Linked DNA regions of Arabidopsis thaliana. The protein of the gene in region 1 interacts with the protein of each later gene in a pairwise test. Each region holds a gene or a part of one and is shown on either strand. Other genes may lie near its edges.

The links.
Region 2: the proteins of IAA11 (region 1) and DRIP2 interact in binary tests that used the Arabidopsis thaliana proteins (3 or more experiments, as listed by UniProt).
Region 3: the proteins of IAA11 (region 1) and NPH4 interact in a two-hybrid assay, tested with the Arabidopsis thaliana proteins (2 studies listed by BioGRID).
Region 4: the proteins of IAA11 (region 1) and HMG interact in binary tests that used the Arabidopsis thaliana proteins (3 or more experiments, as listed by UniProt).

What each region holds. Positions count from the first base shown.
Region 1 is NC_003075.7:14,140,378-14,144,488, forward strand, and holds IAA11 (indole-3-acetic acid inducible 11), read left to right. Parts: upstream 1-1,757; 5' UTR 1,758-1,910; coding exon 1,911-2,170; intron 2,171-2,624; coding exon 2,625-2,893; intron 2,894-2,985; coding exon 2,986-3,118; intron 3,119-3,209; coding exon 3,210-3,271; coding exon of another isoform or gene 3,272-3,300; exon of another isoform or gene 3,301-3,361; coding exon of another isoform or gene 3,362-3,366; coding exon 3,367-3,551; 3' UTR 3,552-3,592; downstream 3,593-4,111. Other genes in the region: ABCB23 (ABC transporter of the mitochondrion 1), read right to left, coding at 1-518; AT4G28650 (Leucine-rich repeat transmembrane protein kinase family protein), read right to left, coding at 3,778-4,111. UniProt on the Arabidopsis thaliana protein: Aux/IAA proteins are short-lived transcriptional factors that function as repressors of early auxin response genes at low auxin concentrations.
Region 2 is NC_003071.7:13,024,246-13,031,190, forward strand, and holds DRIP2 (DREB2A-interacting protein 2), read left to right. Parts: upstream 1-1,665; 5' UTR 1,666-2,198; coding exon 2,199-2,316; intron 2,317-3,735; coding exon 3,736-3,835; intron 3,836-4,259; coding exon 4,260-4,587; intron 4,588-4,732; coding exon 4,733-5,145; intron 5,146-5,250; coding exon 5,251-5,301; coding exon of another isoform or gene 5,302-5,305; exon of another isoform or gene 5,306-5,593; coding exon 5,594-5,666; intron 5,667-5,938; coding exon 5,939-6,118; 3' UTR 6,119-6,416; downstream 6,417-6,945. UniProt on the Arabidopsis thaliana protein: E3 ubiquitin-protein ligase that acts as a negative regulator of the response to water stress. Mediates ubiquitination and subsequent proteasomal degradation of the drought-induced transcriptional activator DREB2A. Functionally redundant with DRIP1.
Region 3 is NC_003076.8:7,016,080-7,023,924, forward strand, and holds NPH4 (Transcriptional factor B3 family protein / auxin-responsive factor AUX/IAA-like protein), read right to left. Parts: upstream 6,035-7,845; 5' UTR 5,426-6,034; coding exon 5,380-5,425; intron 5,060-5,379; coding exon 4,947-5,059; intron 4,847-4,946; coding exon 4,751-4,846; intron 4,647-4,750; coding exon 4,590-4,646; intron 4,502-4,589; coding exon 4,346-4,501; intron 4,259-4,345; coding exon 4,174-4,258; intron 4,083-4,173; coding exon 3,992-4,082; intron 3,910-3,991; coding exon 3,742-3,909; intron 3,651-3,741; coding exon 3,455-3,650; intron 3,357-3,454; coding exon 3,218-3,356; intron 3,141-3,217; coding exon 1,162-3,140; intron 1,084-1,161; coding exon 893-1,083; intron 806-892; coding exon 625-805; 3' UTR 391-624; downstream 1-390. Other genes in the region: CPN20 (chaperonin 20), read left to right, coding at 102-275. UniProt on the Arabidopsis thaliana protein: Auxin response factors (ARFs) are transcriptional factors that bind specifically to the DNA sequence 5'-TGTCTC-3' found in the auxin-responsive promoter elements (AuxREs).
Region 4 is NC_003074.8:10,783,095-10,789,229, reverse strand, and holds HMG (high mobility group), read right to left. Parts: upstream 4,343-6,135; 5' UTR 4,277-4,342; coding exon 4,223-4,276; intron 3,937-4,222; coding exon 3,751-3,936; intron 3,675-3,750; coding exon 3,569-3,674; intron 3,479-3,568; coding exon 3,342-3,478; intron 3,264-3,341; coding exon 3,180-3,263; intron 3,099-3,179; coding exon 3,004-3,098; intron 2,917-3,003; coding exon 2,808-2,916; intron 2,673-2,807; coding exon 2,586-2,672; intron 2,488-2,585; coding exon 2,395-2,487; intron 2,316-2,394; coding exon 2,118-2,315; intron 2,031-2,117; coding exon 1,885-2,030; intron 1,795-1,884; coding exon 1,647-1,794; intron 1,567-1,646; coding exon 1,459-1,566; intron 1,378-1,458; coding exon 1,195-1,377; intron 1,037-1,194; coding exon 958-1,036; intron 860-957; coding exon 732-859; 3' UTR 501-731; downstream 1-500. Other genes in the region: CYP81D11 (Cytochrome P450 superfamily protein), read left to right, coding at 1-466; AT3G28720 (uncharacterized protein), read right to left, coding at 4,891-6,135. UniProt on the Arabidopsis thaliana protein: Component of the FACT complex, a general chromatin factor that acts to reorganize nucleosomes. The FACT complex is involved in multiple processes that require DNA as a template such as mRNA elongation, DNA replication and DNA repair.

The DNA.
Region 1 (4,111 bases):
AGCTCGTTAAAAGCTGAAGATCCAGATCGAGCAATGCCATAGCCAATGAGAACGGAAGAAGGAGTAGCGAAAGCAGCAAGTAGATAAGGATTTGAATCAGTGATTGTTGAAGATGAATATGAAGAGAGTAAATCGATAGATAATTTGAAGAGGAAAGGAACTTGAACATTCAAGAACTTAGCTCCTATGAGACACGCTAAAGCAGCGATGACTCTGAATCGGAGTTCTGGGTTGTCTTTCATCCATAGATAGCTTGAAATCGTGCGGAGGATCTTCTTAGATGATGCTGTTTTGGTTTGATCTTGATTTGGAGTTGAAGTTGAAGTTGAGAAGAAGAAGACTCGTGCGTTGACTGGAGATGGAGATGGAGATGGATCGGTGAAGAATGCATTGATAGCTGGTGATCTCTGAATTGAGCTACGTTTGATAAAACTGGAGAAACTGTGATGGTGATGATCAGAGCGAAGACGGTGATACAGAGAAGCGCGAGAGAGGAGAAACCGAGATCCCCTCATCATCGCTTCTTGTCCGAACGAATCACATACAATTTGGTCTAAATCGATTCTTTAATTCTCTGTTTTGTTCTCTCTGTACTACAGAGTAGCTTAACAAGAAGACGAGGAAGAAGATATCAACTCGGAAATAACCGGTTTTGGTTTTCTGTTTTTATTAAGATAATGAAATTAGCTATCTCGGAGATAACCGGTACTGGTTTGATTGCAACTGGGCTTGAGAGAATCAGATACGGTGGTACACACCGCAGCGAATCTCAGAGTATTCATTCTCTCACATGGACTCTTTCGAAAATTCAACTCTTCTACTATATGCAATTAATTAAAAAATTGAACGGTTTATTTGGAAAGTGAAAAGAAGCAACGGTCGGTTATGTCTTCCCTCCAGACGACAGGGTTTTTATTCGGACACCACTAAAAATGGACAGCTAAACTCCTTTATTGCCTTAAAAATTCAATTTTAATTACGTGATTAAAGATTAGATTGCCACTTGATTTTAAAATACTAATTAAACCTATATAGTGATGGTATCTAACTATCAATAGCTTTAAACCGGAACTAATCAGCACCGTCCGATTTGGAAAGATGGATGGACCAAAGGACGTGTGGGCACGAGTCCCCCCTCTCTGTACACGTGGGTCCCACTAAGCCTTCTAAGTAATCTTTTTCTAGCCGTCCGATTGAATCCCATGAAGCTGACATGTGAGCCCCCACTTCTTGAAAATATATATTTGTATGAATTTTGTTTTTATTTTATTTTCCAGCCTTTTAAAAATGTTTTTATTAATACCACGGATACTACCGTTTTGATATCAAATTTTCTTTGAAATCTATCCGATCTTATATCAGATTTTGGAGTCAAATACCAACTACAAAAATCTGAACATTAATACAATAATATACATTTTGAAAAATCATGTTGTCCATTATATTTTTTGGCATCTAATCCTATCGTTAATTGATTATAAGTTTATAAATATATTACAACGGAATTTCGCATAATTGTAAAACTTCCCTATATAAACTTACGAAAAATTGAAATAATTATACCAAAAGTCCACATATTTTATTTTAAAAACTTACATAAGTGGATATTGTTAAAAGAAGGAAAAAAAAAGAGTTTCTAGTAAATATAGTCACGGAATAATGTGAGAAATTTATTATTGGATCAAAAAAATGATAAAATTGGGCGAGAAATAAGACTAAAAGTTAGGGAAGTGAAAAAGAGACAAATCCCACCCGTCGTGTCTTCTTGTTCATCCTTTGTTTCCCTTTTTCTTTCTCACTGTTTCTGCCTTACTTAAAGTCTCAATCTTTGCTTCAAATTCAACCCATCTCTTTTTCCTCCCTTCCCTCACAATCAAAATCTTAATTCTCAGCTTCTGGTTTTGTCGAAAATGGAAGGCGGTTCCGCTAGTGGATCGGCTTCGGCTTTGTCAAACGATGAAAATCTCGTCGTTTCTTGTGAGGATTCTTCTTCTCCTATAGGGAATGAGCTTGAGCTTGGTCTTACGTTGAGCCTTGGTCGCAAAGGGTATCGAGATTGTAGGGTTTACGCTGATGATTCTTCTTCTTCTTCATCATCTTCTTCTCTGAGCAGAGCTAGCGTAATTGCTGGGATCAAGAGGACAGCTGATTCCATGGCTGCAACTAGTGGGTGAGTGAAATTCTCTTCCCTTTCCTCTTTTACATTTTGATCAATTATGGTTTATTTGGGGATTCTTAATATCATGATTATCAATAGAACTATAAATAAAGATTTGATTTTTGCTTTTTATGGTTATGGGATTGATTAGACAGAATGTCCTTGATCACAGTTATCTGAAAAGATTCGACCTTTGTTACGTATAGATGACTTTGAATGTATCTTCCTGATCATTAGATAGTTTGCTTTGGTCATTATATCTTCAAATTGAATCTTACTATCGTTTTCTAGAGATGACAGTTTTTTTCTTCTTGGATTCTAAAGTATTTATTAGCTTTGGAGAGAAAGTGATTAATCCTGTATAGTGATTCTCTTGGTATCTGATTTTACAAGGCCCTGAAGTGTTTATAACCCTTTTTATGTGTTTACTCTTATTTGAGCAATTTGAAACCTTTGAAAATGGCAGGCAAGTTGTGGGATGGCCACCAATAAGGACTTACAGAATGAACAGTATGGTTAACCAAGCTAAGGCTTCAGCCACTGAAGATCCGAACTTGGAGATAAGTCAAGCCGTAAACAAGAATAGAAGTGATTCAACAAAGATGAGAAATTCCATGTTTGTTAAGGTGACTATGGATGGCATTCCTATTGGAAGGAAAATCGATCTGAATGCTCATAAATGCTATGAATCATTGTCAAACACTCTAGAGGAAATGTTTCTGAAACCTAAATTAGGTGTGCTTTTCGAATCTCATGGCCTTTTTTTTGGTTCCTTTGAAGTTGGTTCTTGGTATGGGAAATGAAGTTATGATTCTTTCTTTAATCAGGTTCACGCACACTAGAAACCGATGGTCACATGGAAACACCGGTCAAGATACTACCAGATGGGTCTTCCGGATTAGTACTAACGTATGAAGACAAGGAAGGAGATTGGATGCTTGTTGGCGATGTTCCGTGGGGGTATGCATACATATGTTCTTATGCTTTTGATGCTTTGTCCCGTGTAAGCGTCAAATTCTGAAGTTTGAACCTGAGTTTTACTTGTGTCTAGGATGTTTATTGGTTCAGTGAGAAGGCTCCGGATAATGAAAACATCGGAGGCTACTGGTAAAGGTACATTTACTGATTCGATCAAATCCTGATATCTGTATTAAAATCATTGTTTTGTCGTTGTGACCGTGTTTGTGTGATCCTTGTTTACAGCTCAGATGATATTATGAAGCAAATAATAATCTACGAAGAACCCTTTATGTTTGAAGCAGTAATAAGACAGATCACAGATCAAAGAGAAGACAAAAACATTGTAAGAAGCTTCTTCTTCTTCTCTCCCCTTTACAGTTTCTTTTTTGGCTCTGCCATTTTTCTTTTAGTTAGTTATATGTTCTCTTTGTAAATCACACTTTAAAAATCTATAAGAAAACCCTTTCTTGCACAAAAACAAAACGGTTCAGAGCAATGCACAAAGTTAATATGATCATGTAAAACAAAGGAAACTTATTCTACATGGAAAAATTAAATCAAAAGATACATATCTCTCTCTCTTTCTCTCTTTCTTCTACATACAGAACACGAATCGAACGAATCAGTTTATCGGCCTCTTTTGATTCTTAAATCTCATACTAAAGAAGGCCATTTACAGGTGAAGTACTAAAAACCGATGAATGTTTCTCGGCCAAGCTACGACTAGTGTTCTCTTCATTACTATTACTTTTCCTCCTCGGTTTAGCCTCTCCGAGCATCGATATCACATCTCTCATCGAAGGTCTGTCTTTCGGGAGCTTTGTAGTGCAGAGAAGAGCAATCTGTAGAACTAAAAGCATCTCTTCTTGCACATATCTGCAGTTTCCTACGTTAGGATCTAATGCTTCTTCTAGTGATATGTTGTCTCTTATCTTCCTTCTCACCCACTCCACAATGTCTACTGATTCTCCAAACTCCGGTTCCAATGGTCTT
Region 2 (6,945 bases), on another chromosome or scaffold:
ATACGGAGAGGATTAATGTTGAGATACAGATATAGTGCGGCGCGGTGTACATGTGCTAGCAAAATTACTAGTTTACTAAGATTTGACTTCTTTTGATTGGCTTAGTGGAAATTCTCCCAAGCCACCATAGATGTTTTGACACGTTGATAGAATGTACTGTCAATGATTTTCAAGAGTGGGAAATTCACAGCTTTGTACTTTGGAGTTTGGAGGAACAACTGGAATGTTTGAGGTCGAATTTGGGAATTGAAATTTTTAACCCCTGGATGAGTTTATATTTGATTGATCTCTCTATTATGGGGTGTTGAATGTTATTTACAAAAAAAAAATAGTCATTGTTTTATGGACGAATAAATTATCTACTTGTCGTTTTTTTACCGAATAACGCATAAATTAGATTCAATACGGATAATTCCTAAAATAAAATAAAAACGGTTAGTTCTTCTAACATACGTTACTATAACAAACGTACTTGACGAGTTGGCATAAAAATGTATTTCTACTGTTTTAAAAGTAACGTACGATTCGTCTTGCATACTGTGACGAAATATGTAAATTCTTTTGTCGCTTAGTGATGATGTGAATTATTTTGATTCATAAAGTAGAAACTCGATACATACCTATTAACTAAACATGTATTATGTTGTGATTCATTTTTGCCTAACAAATAAAATTTATTAGCAAGAACCATTAAAATTTCATACTAATTTTGGATACTAAAATGTTAGATTGATATATAAGAAAAGTATATACTCAAAAAGATTTAACAATTTACCAATATTTAGTATTGGAATCAGTGTAGTGTTTGTTAGTACATGCTTTTCTACATTTAGAAACAGTTAAATTATAATTGCAAAAGGAAGCAATATTGAGGTATTAATAAGGTTTTACACTTTTACTTCAGCTAGCTTTGAATTTTAGAAGTTTTATGGACTATTAAATTATCTACTTGTCGATCTTTCATAAAAACTGTTGGCTCTTGCGAGAGATATGTGACCTTCCAATTGATCGCGAAGTGATAAGATGTATTCGATTTTTTCAGCTTATGCCATTTTTACAACTTTTCGGAAAAATGTTTCAAAATATCCATTATGAATTTGACATCCAAGTTATAAATTAGATAAAATTTACTTGAGATAACATATGGACATATAGATTTTACTTATTTATTAGAGTTCATTAACGAAAAATTATTGAGTTAAATATAGACATCTTTAAACTCGTTAATTTTAAAAAGAAATAATAAACAATATATATATATATATAAATATTTTATTTTCAAATTTTATTTATTTAAAGGGTTTTAATTTTTATTAACAGTTATAATATTTATGATTGTTTCCGGTTACTTTGATGCTATTTTCTCGTAATTCCCTTTTGTACATATATATTTAGAACCAAAAATTCAATCATTGAGAAGCATACTCTCTGTCAAGTGTAATTGATTCCTCCTCTTCATTTTTTAATTCTTCATTTCTTAAGTTTTATTAATTAATTGACTCACCTCTTCATCTTGTTTATTTCCAAGTAATTTTCCTAATGATGTCAATAAACAAAAATAAAAAGATTAAAATCACGCAATATCAGTAAAAAAGGAGAGAGGGTTAAATCGGTGGTGGACTTTGCAGCCCTAAACCATTGTTTCGCCTCGGAAAAGCCCATTTACACAATTGGGAAATAAATAAAAACAGAGTAAAGAAAGGAACGTCTTTTACTCTTTACGGTATCGCTCGCTTCTCTTCTTTCTCCTCAACACGAAGACCCCTCTTGCCTCTTTATTAGAGAGACCCCTTCCTTCTTCTTCTTCACCTTCACCTTCTTCCTCGATTCAGATCGTCTCCTCCTCTGTTTTATACTCACCCTATTCCTTCGAATCTCTCTCCATTTTTATCCCCAGATTCTCCCTTCTTCAACCTCGTCGACTCTTCTTCATCACTCTATTTCTTCCGATTGAGACTTCTTTCACTCTGATTTTCTTCGACCCTTTACGGATATATTCGGTCTTGAGTCTCCATCGGATTTGGATTTGAATGTAGGTATCTCGCACGAGAGTTGTTGTTTAACGTAAATCTGGGTTCTTTTTTTTGGTGGGTCGTTGTTTTTCTTCTACATGCAGTTTTGGGGATAGTACGTGCGATTCATCGATCAATCCTCGTTTAGATAGACATCAAGGATTTAAAGGAGTCGTTAAGAGAGCAATGGAAGGAGACATGGTGGCTAAAGTGAAGAGAGAAACGGTGGTGGCATGCATGACTTGTCCTCTCTGTGACAAACTCCTCCGTGACGCCACTACCATTTCAGAGTGTCTTCACACGTGTTAGTTCCTCTTTCCCCTTCTCGATTTACGTTTCGATTCGATTTTACCCGGTTTCTAATTTTCGCAATTTCTCGTCTTTATCGTCTTCTTTGATTGGTTCTCTGTTGTGTTTTTTTTTTCTTCCTCTTGCTGATTTGGATTGAATATCTGCATGATTCTTGTTGTTAGTCTCGTATGCCACTTATGATCTCCTCTATGTCTCAGTCGATTTGATGAAACTCGAGTCAATGAATAGTTTTGTTTGGTTTTCTCAACTAAAGTAATAGTTGTTGTTGAGCAGAATTTGTAATCTTTGTTTACATTTAGACTGCAAGAATCCTCCTTTATTCGTCTCTTTAGGTAAAATTTGTGAGTGTCTTCTTCTTCGTCAAAGATGGTTTGGTCAAACTCATGACGTCCAAATTTGGTTTTGGCTAATCATGTTGTTAGTTAGATTCAGTTGCTTTGTTATATCCAACTTGTAAGTTTTGTGTTAGGAAGTTCGAGTAACAAGTGCTTTAATCTACTCTCATCGGTTTAATGTAAGTTAATATTTGGATTAAGTAGCATTTATCAGCCTCTTTCTTCTACATGATATTATACAATTAAGACAGTTTAGATCATTTTCTGTTTGGAATGGCTTAATTTATTTCTTTTAACATACAATCCAGATTAGTAGTGAGTTTTCTGCATGTTGAAGTATTTGCTGATCTCTGTAATTTATTCAAATTTAGTTTATATTCCTTTTGGAGTCTAAATCAATCTACCATTCCAAGCTTTACACAACCAATTCTTTGTTACCGTTTACGGAGAAATATACCTTGTTACTCTGTAATTATTTTACTCATTCCATCTGATTTTAAAAAGGTAAATGTTAACAGTTCGGTTCCGTTGTACAACTGACCAACTGCTTATCTCAATTTAATAAAATTTTCAGAACGCCCTGCAGAATCTCTTTTTGAGTTACTGCAGTGCCAAAATTAGGTGTTAAATGCTTCACGGTTTTGTTTCTGGGGATGAATGCAGTATCCCCATCAAATTTGTGATTCCATCTCTTTTGTTTAGGTTGGTAGCTATGGATTTTCTTGATTTTAAAACCAAACAGTATGATGCTCATTAACCACTTGTCTACAAGCTTCTGCCATGACAACTAATATAACTTGATGCAGTAGAGACCATACCAATTATCGGCCTTGCTATAATGGATTTGGTGGAAGGAGTCCGATAATCTAACTTGCATCTAATAAATTCAAACTTGGCAGCGAGCCAACTTGCATTGAACCTCAAACATTATGCTATTCATTCTTTACTTAAACTTTTGATCTGAGAAATTGTTTGTTTTTATGTAAGTTGGTCGCCTTTATTACAAAAGATTTTGTTCTTACTTGATAGTTACTATCTATTGAAATGAAACAAGTTCTTATATCACTTTTATGCAGTTTGTAGGAAATGCATTTATGAGAAAATCACAGAGGATGAGATAGAGAGCTGTCCAGTATGCGATATTGACCTCGGGGGTACCCCACTGGAGAAACTAAGGTAAGTTCTTCTTCTTCTTTATTCCTTACACAATTTTCTCCTCGGTCTTGGTTTAGCAGTGATTCCTTGTATAGACTGTTAGAAGCCTTTTGGCTCTTACTGTTGATGAAACGAAGTTTTCTTACATAATGCTGAAAAGTTGTACATGATTATGCTGAGGTGTGCCACATATGGAAGGTTCTTCCGTAATTTTTGTGGCATAGTGTGAAGTTAATCAAGAAAAGTCATTTCGATTCAGAAGCAGTTATGACCTGAATATGTTGGCTAGTTTAATACTTTCGCTGACACCAACAATTTTTTGTTAGAACCTGAAACAAATCTCTTTAGTACTACACTCTCTCTTACTAGTTGGTCACCAGTAAGAGCTTTGTTGGTGGCGAACTTATTCATTTTCTAAAGAACCACTCTTATGTATTTATTTTAGGCCTGACCACATTTTGCAAGACTTGAGAGCCAAATTATTTCCTCTAAAACGTAAAAAGGAGAGAGCGCCTGAAGTTGTGTCCTCCATCTCATTACCTGCAAAGAGGAAGGAGAGGTCTATCTCGTCTTTGGTGGTAAGCACACCCAGGGTTTCAGCACAAGCTGGTACAACAGGAAAAAGAACAAAAGCTGCTACGAGAAAAGATGTAAGAGGTAGTGGTTCATTCACTAAGAGAACAGTGAAGAAGGAAGAAGAATTTGGAGATGATCATGTAGAGAGCGCAAGCTCGCCTGAAACACTTAAAAAGTTTACTCAGAATAAAAGACAGGTAAAGAAGGTGATCATTGCAGTTCTCTCTTTACCTTTATGTTTTACTTTTTCTCTTTACCAAGTCCAAACACAACGTTATGACTGATTATGGTCTTTATATAGTTCCCCATACATTTATTTATTTATTAATTCTTTTTTTGCAGTCTTCATATGCAAATCCTAACCAGTCCCTCTCTAATCGAAGAAACAAGGATGTTGATGAACCATGGGATTCCAAATTACATCTTTGGAAACCTCTAAATTTTCTTGTGGATGTGGCAAACGGAACAAAGGACCCAAAATCTGAGCTTGGAAACGCATCCCACAATGATGTTCAGGGGAGTAAAACCAAAACAAAGGATCATAAAAGAAAGTGTAAACTCGAGGAAGAGATCAGCAATAACGGTGATCCTACAACATCAGAAACTGCTACACTTAAACGAACGCGTCGGACTCGTCGCAAAAGGTCATCTACTTTTGGTGATTCTAGAATTCCACTGTTACCAGGTGCAGCAAGCCTAAAACAGGAGAGGAGAAACGGTCATGTTTGGTTCTCACTTGTAGCGTCAAGTAATCAGTGAGATTCCTGTTCTGTATCTGAGACTCTGAGTACTTCTGATATTCAATATTTTCTGTGTCTTTTCATTTCTATCTCTTAGTGACACGGCTTTACTGGTTTCAGGGAAGGAGAAGCATCATTGCCTCAGATTCCAGCAAACTACTTGAGAATAAGGTAAGTTGTTCTTTTTGCTTTGCTCTGTTTCTTGTCACTAAGTTTTTATATGTCAACTGTGAAGTCTGTGATCAAATATTACTTATTATTGCATTGATGGCTTTGAATTCGATTTCGCAGTTGTTTTACCCGAGTTTCCATGTCATGTTTGTTTTCTGTGGTATACGTTTCTTGATAAAGCCTTCTTCTTTTTTGGCCCATCACACCTAATCCTTGACTGGGAGGTGTCTATTTTCTTGTTTGGGAGAATTATATTGTGCCAGAGTTGATCCCCTGTCTCATTATATGGTAGGGATGGAAATATTCCAGTTTCTTTTATCCAAAAGTACCTCATGAGGAAGCTTGATCTCAAGAGTGAAGATGAGGTAAGCAATCTTATCTTATGCAGTGGCTACTTTTCTGTTTTATATGAGGTATCCACTCGGTCTAATATGGAATCACATAGACCGTAGTTCTATACATTGGTTCAAGTCTTGTGCTTATCAATATGACTGTAAGGTCCCCATAAATGTTTAAACTAAAGTTAACTCTCCCTTTTATTTCCGACTTGTGTACCGGGTGATATCTTATGATCTGGGACTTTTTCGACCCACCGGTGTTGAACCTTAACTACTCTATGTTTTTTTTTTGTAAACAGGTAGAGATAACATGTATGGGAGAACCAGTGATCCCAACGTTGCAGCTTCACAGCTTAGTAGACCTATGGTTGGAAACAACTTCTAAGCATCAAAGAGTCGCTGCGTCAATAGGTTCATCTGCAAAGGAATTTGTAATGGTGCTAGTTTATTCTCGGAAGCTCCCTGAATGCAACAACTAAAGAGCTATTCATTGAATCTTTTCTAGACCGAGAAGAAAGAAAAGTGCAGGAGCAGTGGAATGTCTTGTGTAGAAAGAAACTTAGCAATTTATATTTATTTAATTGTAATCTTAAAATTTGAAACATTGGTGTGAGACAGACACTTTGTTTGTTTATCCAAGAAGATTCAAAAATGGCTTTTTAAAGGAGATTGTGTCCTTTTTGGATATTTGAATGTATGATTAGGATAATGTTGTCATTTCTATAAATATTTGTTTCCTTGTTTGGACTAAATGGAGAAGTACACGGAATCCTTGTGAATCGAATGACTTAGCCATTATTGAGAAGTCAAAAGAAAAATAACCAAAAAAAAACTTGTGAAGTGTACCTTTAATACAAGAATTAAAGAGAGATGTATAAAAGTTTTCTAACAATTTTGTTCACCAAAAAAAAAAGTTTTCTAACAATTTTTAATACAAAATGCAAAATTAAAGATGAATTTTCTTATTTCTTTTTTTAAAACATAATTTTGAAGAAATTTGGTTGTCTTTTTGCATTTGTTTCTAGATATTTCTAAACTGTTGGGAAATAAAAAAATTTGCACACAAAACATAGTTAAATTCACGTGGTATTTATAGAGATTTACTTCAACCAAATTTGGATTTTGGGTCATTGTTTTATGGACGGATAAACTATCCATTAGTCAAATTTCCACAAAAATAATATGTGAATTAGATTCGACAAGGCTAATTCCCCCACAACATACGATACTAGAACAAACGTACTTGACTACTTGACGTAACAATGTTTCTCTTACTGTCTTGAAAATAACATATAACTCGTTCATC
Region 3 (7,845 bases), on another chromosome or scaffold:
TGTCCATTCGGGGAATCTGATACTTTCTTAGTAGCTTGATGTGATAGTCAGTTCATACACAAGTTCCAATTATACATATTCTCCTCTTCATTTTATGGCAGGTGATAGCAGTTGGACCGGGTTCCCTAGACGAGGAAGGTAAAATTACGCCTCTACCAGTATCAACCGGAAGCACAGTACTTTACTCCAAGTATGCTGGTAACGACTTCAAGGGCAAAGATGGTTCCAACTACATTGCCCTCAGAGCTTCAGATGTGATGGCTATACTTTCTTAGTTATGTTATATCTTTGTAATCTGCAACTTGTATCCCAATTGTGGAAATTTTTTCCGTAAACGGCCTGAGCATAATCTGGAATAAAGACTTGAGTTTGAAAATGTGATTTTATTGCTGATTTCATGTTTTTCCTTCTCTTTTTGGTTACAAGCGGTTTCAGTTGATCAGTTAAACTTGGTAGAAACAGTGACTCACAGCAAATAAAATCTCCGTGTAAACTTAGTGGAAGATATTTTACAGGTAAATGCTCTACAGTGCCCAGTGGAAACTTGAGACATGTTATCAACGAGAAGTTATATTACAAAACGAAGAAAAAAGAATCTTTGTCTGTGAGAGAACTCTTCTGCCATCACCGGTTAAACGAAGTGGCTGAGTTATCATCATAATGACCTCTCCAAGCATTGCCACTGTCACCGCCACTACAAGCTTGATTAGTAACTGGTACACCGGCAAAGTTCCCGTCTAAGCTCATCTGCTGAACCTCAGCTGATGAAAGGATCTTAATGCTCTGAACACAGTTTACGAATTCTCTGCAAAAATCACGATTTTAAAGGTTAGCAAAAAAATAATGGAACTTCTAACAGTCTGATGTGTGAATGTAATTGCTCTCTACTTACTCCCATGGATCATCGCCGACGAGGAGGATGTCATTTTCATGATCGACATAAACAAGTTTCCAGTCAGATGTTTGAGGATCTTCGAGCTGTCCTTCGATCCCAAACATGCGCGCTAGATCATGCCTCAGCTCATCGTAACCTCTGTAACGGTTGACGTCTATTGATCTCCCCACTGAGCCTCGTTTTTGCACCTGTAGGAAAATTTAACATTTGTCAAACCGAAAACATAACCCAAATATCAACAAGCATAGATCAGAGCACAATCGAACCTTTGTATAAGTTCGCATTCGCTGAGTCTGAGCTGGCCACAATCCACCACCAAGAACTCCAGCATCGTTGACAGCTAGATCGTTCGAAATGGCGGGCACATTGGGGACACCAAAAGATTGAGTTCTTACAGCTGAAGTAGACATCTCTGTACCAATGTCATTTGTCACTCCTCCATAGTTTGAAAGCATGTTCTGAAGATCTTTCTGGGAGTCATATCCCCTCGAGAGTAGCGTGTCAGGCACAAAGCCATTATCAACATTAGCTCCACCGAGCAAGCTGTTCCTGGAATCACCGTCAAGGCCAAAAGTTGGAGCCAAGAAATTTTGTTGTCTGTTGTTTTCGCCTCCATCTAAACCGTAAGAAGTTCCAGAGGCAGATGCTTCTAGTTGATGATCTGTTAAACTAGCTTTGGACTTTTGCTGACCCACGAGTTCTTGTTTTAGCCGCATATCGGATTTGCTGTAAAGATCCTGAACAAGATTACCAGACATATCAATCGCTGCATCAGGTATCAAGATCGCTGGCCCGCTTTGGCTTCTGTTGAGAAAGCCTGAAGAAGAGATCTGACAGTTGTTGGTGGAAGGCGACGTTGAAGAGGAAGGTGCATCTCCTCCATCTGTGATGCCTGAATAAGCTTTGACCCCTCCCCCAACCGGTGGGTTTTGTTTTTCCTGAGGTCGGCTCACCAGCATTTGAGGTGGTTGCAACGTCGATAAGCCATTGTTAGTGCAAGATGACGGAAACTGATGACCTTGAGAGAGAGTAGGCAGCTGTTGCAACTGCTGGCTTTGCAATTGATGGTGTGGTAACTGAGACTGCGGCGAAAGAAATTGCTGCTGCTGTTGCTGTTGTAATCTCTGTAACAGCTGAAACTGTATATGCGGCTGTTCCAAGAGACTCTGCTGGAATATCTGTTGGGCCTGTGCCTGGTGAGCTTTCTGCTGCAAAAGTGTTTGCTGATTCTGCCCGTTGAGACCAGGAGGCTGCTGCTGTTCTACTTGTCGTGAAAACTGTGTCTCTTGCGGCGGTGCGGACATCAGATTGGATGAAGACTTGCTGGTTTCAATTACACTACTCTGGCTAGTGCTAGCACCTAAATGGTGATGTGCTTGTTGAAGTTGCTTAGACTGTTGTTGTTGCTGTTGAAAGCTTTGATTAAGGGAGCTGGACGGAGGCGTGATGACACTGCTTGCCATTGATCCCGAAACTAATTGTGGTTGCAAATGATGTGTAGATGCTTGTTGCGACTGATGCTGCTGCGCTGCTTGTTGACCATTGTAAAGCTGATTCTGTGGAACCTGAAGTTGCTGCAACTTATGTTGTTGTAACTGTTGTGGCTGTGGATGCGAGTGAGATTGCAATGGCTGTGTTCTTAGCTGCTGCTGCTGAGTCTGTTGCTGTAACGGTTGTTGATGTTGTTGCTGCAGTTGTTGTTGTTGTTGCTGCTGGAGCAATTGTTGTTGTTGCTGAGACTGCGATTGATTGTTGTTGCTGTGTTGTTGAGACTGCAATTGTTGTTGCTGCTGCAGCAACTGTTGTTGTTGTTGCTGTTGTTGAGACTGCGATTGCTGTTGTTGATGGTTCAAAGAGGAGTGCAACAATTGCTGCAGCTGCTGTTGTTGGGACAACGTAGTTGGTGGCTGAGGCAACTGAGACATTGGGGCTTGCTGATTCTGTTTGTTAAATTGGAGATTTGAGGAGGAAATCCCCCCGTGCGGCGTCTGAAAGCTCAGTAACTTGGAGGGATCATCAGTGCCGCCAAGATTGTTGTGCAGCGCCGCGGTTGGCGAAAGCATTGATGGGAAGAAACCTGGCTGTGCAGCAGCAGAGGGTAGCTGGCCGTTCTGCTGCTGCATATTCATCCACTGAACTAAACTCAGACCAGGAAAGATAGTACTCGAAGGGTCTTTCATCTCTAAGCTATTATCAAGCCATGGCATTGCTCTCTTCAGTGCAGACTCCATGTCAGTCTCATCATCTGCAAGAGCACCGGAAATTCCGTCCTTGAGGAGATTCAAAGAAGTTGTGTCGAAATGAAATGGTACAAAAATTTACCTGGCATTCCAGGTTGTCCAGAAAAGCGAGGTCGGAAAAATGGAGGAGGACATATGTAGAAAGGAGTTAAAACCGGTTCAATGTCCCAAACTGAAACTCGACTGGGCCTATCACCAGCAGCTGACTCATCCCATCCAATCTTTAGCAGAAACAGAAACAAAGCATAACTAAAATGAATGGTGCAATGTATCAAGAAAGACAAATCTGACATTCATCATGAGTTTTACTTCAAACTACCTGAAGATTCCGCCACTGAGAGTTTTTCCATCTCACTGGATCAAGATCACTGATACCGGTAACTGTACCCATATACCGACGAACTCCACATTCTTCAGTCTCAAATATCATTCTAAACCGCATACCGAGGGAAACTTGAGCGTACATCGCTTTGGTATACTTGGCTAAAGGAACCACAAACTCAGCAGGAGCAGCCCTGAAAAAACTCGGTTGTAAATCTCTCAGCAATTGCCATGAAACAAGCATATATAGTAAGGTTAACGTAGACAAAAGGAAACATAGATCGCCACCTCGGGTTGTAGAAAATGGTGAAAGGACTGTTATTAGCATTAGCATGAGCTGCAGCTGCAAGAACTCCGATGTGCATGCTATCACTTGATATTACAGATGAAGAAAGTGCAGGCTGTTGTCTATTTGCACGTCTTATCCCCAACAGAAGTTGCGCCTTTCCATCTCTTAATTGAAAGAAAAAAAGAATTAGCATCTTGACAAAAAAAAATACCGAAAGAGAGCATTGGCACATTGAGATTGATATACCTTATAAAAAGAACAGAGTCTCCAGCAAAGAGCCTTTTCGTGCTGACAAACACACTCCAGCCTGTAGTTAGCAAGTGCCTTTTTGGTTGACCTGATAAATGTCAACATATCCAAAACGTAAGAACAATTCTACGAAAGCCAAATTGATTAAAGAAGGTAATCTACCAAAAACAAGGTAAAACCTCGATAAATATGTCTGAAAGTCCATGTGTTGTCATGAATATCCTTAGCAACAAGCTCCTGACAAGGTGGTTGCATCGAGAAATCCTAGTAAAATATTGCCAACAATGTAAGAAACTAAGGCAATACAGAGATACTAACTATCAGATGTATAAGAAAGTATTGTATATACACCAGAGCAGGAAAGATTTTCTCAGCAGCTCGTCGGGGTACAGAAAATCCACCGTGAGTACTTGTGTCACTCGCCGTGAGGGTTTTGCAGAAAAATTCATTAGGTTGTCTGTTTAGCTTAAGACCCATGTCAGAAGCAAGCAATGCATCTCTGTCATACTGTTCAACAAAATGCTCAGAGCAATTAGTCCCTCCCTACTCCTTAAATACACCTATAAATCGAGTTATTCAGTGAAAGGTAAGCTACTTTGTTTACTGGCTGAAGAGTCATCTGCGCATAGACCTCATCCGTCTCAGGATCAGCCTGGTTCACAGTCGACAATTAGCAAAACATTAGCAACTCAAAAGCAAAAAATGTTAAAACAACTAGCCTAAGAGGCCATTATAGATATTTAAAAGATACCATACATTCAGTGTAACATTGTGGAGCATGCATATGAGCTTGGAAGGAAGATTCGGGTAACTTGGTATGAAATCAGTCTGCTTCTGCATTGAAGCCGCGACCTAAGAAACAGAAAAATAAATAGCAACCACATGAAATTTCCAATCAGCGACTCATTCTTGATCAGCCGCGAATGATACCAAACTTTATTGAACAACATACTTGCTCACTGTGACCTTGAGGGAAGTAAACAACAAGACTTCCTGCTGGAGGCAACGAAATCAATGGCCCAGCACAAGCGTGCCATAGCTCTGAGTTTATATTTCTCCTTTCTCCTGCATTCACACAACATCAAAGCTGTGATTACTTAAAATCTCTAGGATCTTCATTCAGTTACTATTATCAAACCAACAAGATAGGAGAGAACTGCTCTAAACCAACTAAAAGCCACAGTCTTTATAAACCAATACAATAGTAACTTAGCTTACTCTCTAAGCAGAAAATGACCGAAACCAATTCAATTCAGGTTCTCAAATCCAGCAATTCTGAAGAAATGTGTGACCTCTTCTACTTAAAACTTGAATCTATTCAAATCCAGCAATGAATTTCTTCTACTAAAGGATTGACATTTATCAGATACGAGAAACACACAAACCTTCAACAGGATTAGGAGAAACTCCATTTGATGAAGGAGCTTTCATGATCACTCAACTTTACTTTCTCTGAAGAATAAACCCAATAAATAATCTGAATCTGAGCTTATACAAAGCTAAGCTCTTTGCGTGAGAGCTTCATCAAAAGCCCTAAACTTTCACTCAAGTTGTTAATAGCTTCCTAGCTCAAGTAACAGCAGAGAGAATCGTTAATCAGAAATGGGGAACTCCAAGATCTCAGCTTTTTATCTCCGACAGAGCCGCCAATTTCTCGGAAATTTTAAGTATCTCAAAGAGATCAAAAACCACGACTTTTCACACGCGGAATCTCCGGAGAGACAAACAAAGCATACGACCTTAAAAAAGATTCCGTTTTTAACGAAGCTCTTTATCTCGAGTCAGATAATTCAAAAACACCCACAAAGTTACTTGATTCAGCTGCTCTTCTTTGTTTTGCTTTCCTTTCTTGGGGGGAATCAAATCAAAGAGACGGGTTTCTATAAAAAGAAATCTGGAAAATGAATCGAAAGAGAAAAACAAAACTTAAGGATGACCAAGGACAATCGAAGATTAAGACTCAAACGTGAGAGAAAGAGCAACAGAGTTGTCGGAAAGGGATGATCAGCGACCAGGACAACTACCAAAAGGTCTGCTAAAGCACAGGAACAGCTTTTTCTTCTTCCTCTCCTTTTTTTTTCCTTCTCTTTTCTTTTTCCGATATTTTTATTTTTTTATACCTATTTAGTTATGCTCATGAAGCCGACATATTCACTAGCAAACTGGCCACGATTTAATTTCTTAATGTTATTATTGTCCTCTAAAATTTTAACTTTGACACACAAAAAAACAACTTTATTAGTGTTTTCTTTTTCCTTATCTCTGATAATTTGATAAGTTTTTTTCATTAAGGTTATTATTACTGTATCATTTATTGTAATACTTGATTAGGGATAACATAGATTTATAGGGGATGTATTGAAAAAAACAAACTAAGCTGACTAGCTAGTTATTTGATCAAAGTGCGTACATATATGTTTGGCAATTTCTTTTGTAGTTAACTATATTTAATTCAGATAGATTTTAGGATTCATAATTCATCAAAAAATTTTATGATTTTCATTATTTTGAACAAAAGCATTTTACTAGAAATTTTGTGGAGTTTTACATGGTTGGTTCTGAGTTTCATAAACTAGCGTTCATGTTTTAAACGAGAATGGAACTTAAATGTTTAGTAATGAGTTCTATAATAACAAACAAATCTAAATTCGCTTAGATCATCATTATAAACAATTGATCTTATTTTGTTGTAAATGTTGATTAATTGATCAAATCTAAGTACATACAGCATATGCGATCACAAAGAACAATATTTTAACGGACGATTTCATATCAAAAATGATAGAAGTTCTCTCTTTGTTCATGATTCTTTATTGGTTTCTTATATTAATTAACCTAAACTTTTGTCTTTTGGAAGAAGTGTTATAATGTCACACAAAATAAAATTACATATGATGATCACAACTTACACTCTTTTCCCAGTACAGCCATCATTCAAAATTTTCCTCTATAATCGTTAAAATGTCTACCCAAAAAAAAACGGTGATATATATTCCTAAACATATTGGAAAACCGAATATAACCATAAATATGTCATTGTACAAACTACAATCTATTTGGTTTAAGGCCACATAACAAGTTTTATCTACCAAAGACTGAACCTCCATATTCATCACAGACCATTGTAAAATGCATGTAAACCCTTTGAATGACCCCACATCAAAAAAGAAAGTTACAAAACAGTAACCTCTTTGTTAGTTTAGGTTCGATCCAAAACTTATTTGGCAGGAATGCTTAAAATTCTATATACTTACAACTTTAAGTGAAGGTAATATATATGTATGGAATGAATGGATGTCAATTCAAATAAGTGGCAGTGAGTAGCGACATGATGTCCCTGAGCAATAAATGCGTGAAGACAGAAGTTTGGAGATTGGATGAATGTAAGAAGGCCTTTTGAAGTTATGGATTTCGACGCCTAGCTTTTTTTTTTCTTTTTTTTTTGTGAAACTTTGAGGCCTAGCTAACGTTTAAAAAAAGAAAAAGAAAAATGTTAATAGTTTTCTTATTACAAAGTGACCGAAATTTAGTATGAACTCCGAACTACGACTTCATGCATGTATTAAAGTTGGAATGAAAGGAAGAAGAGCGTGACGCATTTCAGAACCGGTTGTGTGTCCGTATGGTGTCCGCAGTGGAAAGTGGAAAATGAACAAGATGAATAACTCATATACTGTCCTAAAGATATTTCCAGAATCACATCAACGTATTTTAGCCGATTTAATGAATTCGACAGTTGGTGTTGACAATATATGTAAATGTAACCACAAAATACACCACTTGAGTTGGATGAATTATCAGAGAGAGACGAGGAAGTTTCGTTACGATTCCATGATTTTCTCGACTTTACT
Region 4 (6,135 bases), on another chromosome or scaffold:
ACTTCCTTACCTTCAGCACATTGTGTCAGAGACTTTACGGCTTTATCCGGTGGCTCCAATGCTTTTACCCCACTTAGCATCAGAAGATTGTATAGTTGATGGCTATGACGTTCCACGCGGCACAATCATCTTGGTGAATGCATGGGCCATCCATAGAGATCCAAAGTTATGGGAAGAGCCAGAAAAATTTAAGCCGGAGAGGTTTGAGAAAAAAGGAGAGGATAAAAAGTTGATGCCATTTGGGATTGGACGACGATCTTGCCCTGGTTCAGGGCTAGCTCAACGGCTAGTGACTTTGGCTCTTGGATCATTGGTCCAATGTTTTGAGTGGGAGAGGGTTGAAGAAAAGTATCTAGACATGAGAGAAAGTGAAAAAGGAACCACAATGCGAAAAGCTACATCGTTGCAAGCTATGTGTAAAGCTCGTCCCATTGTCCATAAGGTTTTAGATGCTTCTTGTCCATAACTTTCATCATACAGAACCTCTTGTATAACAATTTCGATAGAAACACGATCTGTTTTGTTGCTTCTTAGCTATGGCCTTACCAGAGTACTCTATATTTTGAGGTAAAGACAGGCTCTTCTTTTCTAGGAAGTAACACAAGATCTTTAAGGTCAAAGAGAAAAATCTGGTTAACTCCAAACAACTAAAGGTCCAACGTTTACTACATGCCATAACTTAGTATTGTAGGTAAATGAGATACTAGTAGAGAATGTTGGAGAATCAAAGTTTAGTTACTATCGGAATCGTTTCCTGAGTCCACATTCATCGGCTGAGGGTTCTTGTAATCACTGATCTCATCCTTGTATCGCTGCTTGTCGACTTGAGCCTTGGCTTCATATGGCTCTTTATCATCAGCTATACATACACACGGTTGGGGAATTAAAACACATTCACATGATAAAGTAAAACCAAGTAATGTATTTACTTTTGAAAAGGATCTTCAAATTTTTTACCAGACATTTGACGCCACTTATCTCCAAGCACCTTTCCCACCTCTCCAAATGCTATTCCTGGGTGTTCCTTCTTTATGTTCTGTTCAGTTCACAAATGGAAAATGACATAATCAGGAATGTGCTAAGTTTGTCTGTTAATTGTTTGCTCTCATGTATGTAATAGACCGAGGATACTCCATTTCGCAACTTAGCCTACATCATAGAGGTAAAAGTAAAAGAAAGGAGAGAAGAACTCACATCTCTTTCCATTTGGGAAAAGAACATGAAACCAGACATTGCTCTTTTTGGTGCGTTGGGATCCTTCTTCTTCTTCGGCTTCTTCCTCTTACTACTGCCTTCGTCTGCGGCTACAGTTTTCCTCTTAGGAGGCAATCCTTTCGATGACGAAGCCTCTTTCTTAGGTTCCTTCTTGATAGATTTCTATAACAAGTCAATGACAGGAAGATATGAGAAACAAATACTGCTGCTGAAAGAGTTCGAATGAATGCGACAAAAGTTTACCTCTTTTATCTCTCCTACACCGCCTTCACTAGCATCAGAGTCGTCCCCGCCAGAATCATCAGTTGGTGAACCACCATCATCATCCTCACCCATAACAAAGTCTTCGTCCTTCATAAATTAAAAGTCTCGATTATCAAACACATGATCATTAGAATATGAAGTAATTCGGTCAGACATAAAGTACTTGCCTCCTCATCACTCTCATCAGCAGCTTGGTTTCTGATACGCGTAAGATGAGGGTCAACAGCATCATCATCATCATTATCCCCAAGAACAGCAGCAACACCGTCTGCGGTACCCGCACCTCCAAGGTTCATAATCTTCAAACCCTTAGAGCTGCAGCAAGAAAACATAAGGAATATTCACCACAAATCTTAAATGCACTCAGTAAATATAGACGGAGACAATGAAATAATCCGCGCTAACCTTATGAAGGTATAGAGATTGTGATACTCATTTCTTTGAATGTTACGGAACAGATGTTCATGGTCAGTTTTCAGTCTTATGAGAAGATCAAAGTAATGCATGTTAGCACCACCAGCAGCATGCCTTTCAAACTCGACATAGTCAATCTAAAAACGAAAAAAAAACAGGTTAGAAAACCCAACTCTATCTCAAAGCCTATAAAAAATCTCCAATCCTTAATAACCATAATTTACCTCATCGTGAAGTATAAGCGTTGGAGGTTTAGGTAAGAAGAAAAATCCCTTCTCGAGTGGATAAAGAACCCCATCTTCTGCCTTGAGAGACGATTTCACTGCAAACCCATCTTGGGAACTGCGGAACTTCCCAGGTTTAGTGATCTTTGCACCAGACAGCCAACGCAACACGGTGGTGAATACTTCATGAATGAGACCCTGAAAATTCATACAATTCAGCGTATGTATAAATTTTTTTATTCAGGAACAATAATGTAAGTGCAGACCAGACAGAAACCTTATATGATCGCTCCAGCTTGTCCTTGAACTTTGTATTCATAAGTTCATCACTAATTGACAGTTCACTTTCGACAACGGTGTCTGTTTCAAACTGGAGAAGATGCAAAAACAGTTATGTAAATCAGAGTAAAAAAACGAAAATTATACATAGAAAATTGAAATGGAAGGAAAAATGTAAGTAATGTTTACCTGCATAACAATGTGGGGGTACATTGTCTGACCTTTCCGGATTGGTGGGTCTAGAGAGATAACAACAAACGTGTGTGGTTGGTTTGACTGCTCAGGCATATAAAAAAAAATACGAACTCAATTAATGTGAACACGATTCAGTGATCATAATACGATAATCCCTTTAATCTGATGACTGCTAACATAGGTAACTGCCCTGAGATATGCTTAAAAAAGAATTACCTTTGGAAGCAAGAACAAACGGACAACGCTACTGTACTGGATTTTAAAGTCATTAGCTTGTCCTTGCAATCGTAAGAAAGAAAGGTGAAGTTCCACATTGTACCGACCCCTGTGATAGAAACAACCAAATCATTTAGTCATGACAAGATGAAGCCATACAATAGTGCAACAAATGTTTAAGTAATCAACTCTTTACCTGGGTGTGAGGATTGCAATACTCTCAAATGTGACGACCGCATCCTCAACTCCAGGACTAACATCAGCCATTGCAACGATTGTGTCATTGAAAACCTGAGACATTCTTTTAGCATCAACAGAAAAAAATATATACTTGAGGCACATACATATAATGAAAATAGTTTGGGAACTCACTTGAGAAGGTGGACGGTTTTCATCACCAACAAACTGAGTGTTGGAATTAGGAATATGAAAACTAATCTCCATCAGCGAGTCTTTCTGTAAACACGTAGAATATAAATCAGTAAATGTACATACATAACAGCCTAGAGATTACATATCAAAAGAAACCAGTACCTCATTAGCACCAGCAGTATCATCAACATGAAACTCCAAAGTAACATCATTTTTCCCTTGAAGCTGAGTCTGTGAAACATCAGCTAAAGATACTTCAAAAGCTTGTTTTGATCCAACCAAAAAGGTTAGTGTATTCCCTACACAAAGAAACAAAAAATTCTCCCTTTAGATCCACAAATGAAACTAGACAACCACAAGTAAAGCCTAAAAGCTATAAGAACTCTCACCGTGTAAATCCACCTCTCCCCAATTACGACCACTAACTGATAATTGCTTCTCATCCGGTGTTTTTCCATAAGAACTTTGGAAAAAGCTAGACAGACTTGGAACATCCTACAAAACAAAGGAATCAGAACAAGCACAAACATTACAATATCAAATCAAATAAAAAAGATATACACACACAAACCTGATCTCGAAATCCAACGAACTTGTAGTACAATCCATCTTTGGTTTTGACTCCCAATTGATTACTCTTTGTCACTTTCGTCCAACTAACACTTACAATATCAGATCTATCAACTTCCACAGCTTTTCCACCACCTTGTTTCTTCCATTGAATTCCTCCAGAATTGATTTTAAGTAAACCCGGGTTCTAAAAAACCAAAATTGAAACCCTAATTAGCCTTAAGAAAACCCTAAAAACTACCGCAGCTTTAACAATTGTAAACAAGAAAACAACACAACTGAAAAATGAAAGCGACAATCTTTTTTTTAACCCTAAATTTGACTCATTGAGTTCTTTAAGAATCGAGCGGCGGAAGCAAAAGGGGATACAGAGAAAGGAGATTAGGGTTTTCGAAGGAAGAGGAAAAGGTGAAAACTTTGAAGGAATTGAAAGATCTTGAGAGATAGAAGGAGACAGAGAGAGAAGATGGTACCTTTCCACCGCGACCGCTGAGAGAGATATTATTGAAGGAGTGGCCGTCCGCCATGGTTTTCTGTTGAGAGACACGAGAGAGACGAGAAAGCGAGAGCGAAAGAGAGAGAGTGATTTTTTTTTTTCCAAACTATGATATCAACTTTTATACATAGACACTCAGGCGGTTTAATTTTGGGAAGAAAACCAATTTTCGAAAATTAGATTTTCCGGTTTAATTGAATTTTTGAGTTTTTGGTTTTGCAGATTTGGGAAAAAGACCTTTATCAAAAAACGGTAAAAACAGAAGGTTGTTTTGAGTTTTGGATTTTTTCACATTTGGAAAAGAAACCTCTTATAAAACAGAATTTTATATCAATTATGTAGGCATGCGGGTTCGGTTTACCAAACCGGTTACTTCGGTTTTGTTTGGCTTTGGTTAGGAGGGGAAAACCGGTCTAAGGGTATGGAGAAGTGATTATTGAAGGAGACAATAGGAATGTGATGGAGCTATTCAAAATAAATAGACAACCAAACAGAGGATCCGAGCATTGTCTCTATTGTTCAACATTACCAAATGGAAACAAGCTCATAATAGTAGTACATGTTGTATTAACCTCAAAAACCAAACTATCAAAGTCTTTTTATCCAATGTAATGACTATAAATTACCCTGCATTGCTAGAATTCTTCAGAACTGTTTTCGTTTGTTCCTAAAGAGTCTATCTCTTTTCGAGAACACGTAACCAACAGCCATTAACCCGAATCCCGACACTGAAACAGTTCCCCATGGGAACGGTGGATCTTTGAAACAGTTGAGACTCGCTTCTACCCGTTGTGACGCGAGGTACACTACTGAATGCACTGAGTACAAGTCGTGTGAAGCTGATCTTAAGTAGAACAAAGCCATCTCGAACTCATTGTGTGATAGAGCAGAAACCGTTTTATCCAGCTTGTACTGCATAAGATTCCACCTTTGCATGAACTCAGAGTGGCGATTCTGTTTCCGTAGGATCACATCTCCTCCATATGCAACCGCGGAATCGATAACATCGATTGCACTTGTGATAGTTGTGTTCAAAGATGTCAAAATCACGTTTCTCTTAGCAGCATCTTTCTGAACAAACGATAGAGACGAGATATCAGAGAATGGTCCAAACGGTGTTTGCCCAATGCTCCATGTATAATCAACTAGAGTTGTGTTATGTCTCGGGCTCCATGTCAAATGAGTAGAAGATACACCCCACATACTCTGCAGAATGGAACCAACGAGAGGTCGTTCTAAGTCTCTCGTATGAACAAACACATGACGCCCGTTGCAAGTATAATCACTAACCGTTTGAGTTCCTCTAGTTCTAACAGCAATCACCATATCTCTAAAAGCAACAGACTGATGATACCGATCAAGCAACAAAGGCGTATTGATATCCAAATCAAACACATAAACAGGTAAAACCCTAGCAAACTCATTTCCTTCTTCTTCAACAATCCCCGCAACTCTCCTCAACTCCTCAGCCGAATCAGTCAACGCCCGATGCATATGCTTAGAATCCAAATACTCACTCACAATCAAAGTATAGTTATCAAACAAAAACCTAGAAGTATACGAATTCATCCCACGAGATACCGCAAACGAACAAATCGAACATTCTCTATAATTCACACTATAACTCTTAAAACTCAACTTCTGTTCACCTAACAACAACCCACCACTCTCAGCTTCATCCATAAACGTTCTCTTCACAAACTCCAAATCTAACCCACTCGAATCCTTAACCTCTGACCCATACACATGAATAAACTGAACCACCAACGTATCCTCAAAGTACACAGGGATTCTCAAAGAAGGAACAATCAAAACCTGATAAGCATTATACACCAACGAAGCCAAATCCGCAAGTAAAGCTTTTTCTGATTTAGGACGACCATGTAAAGC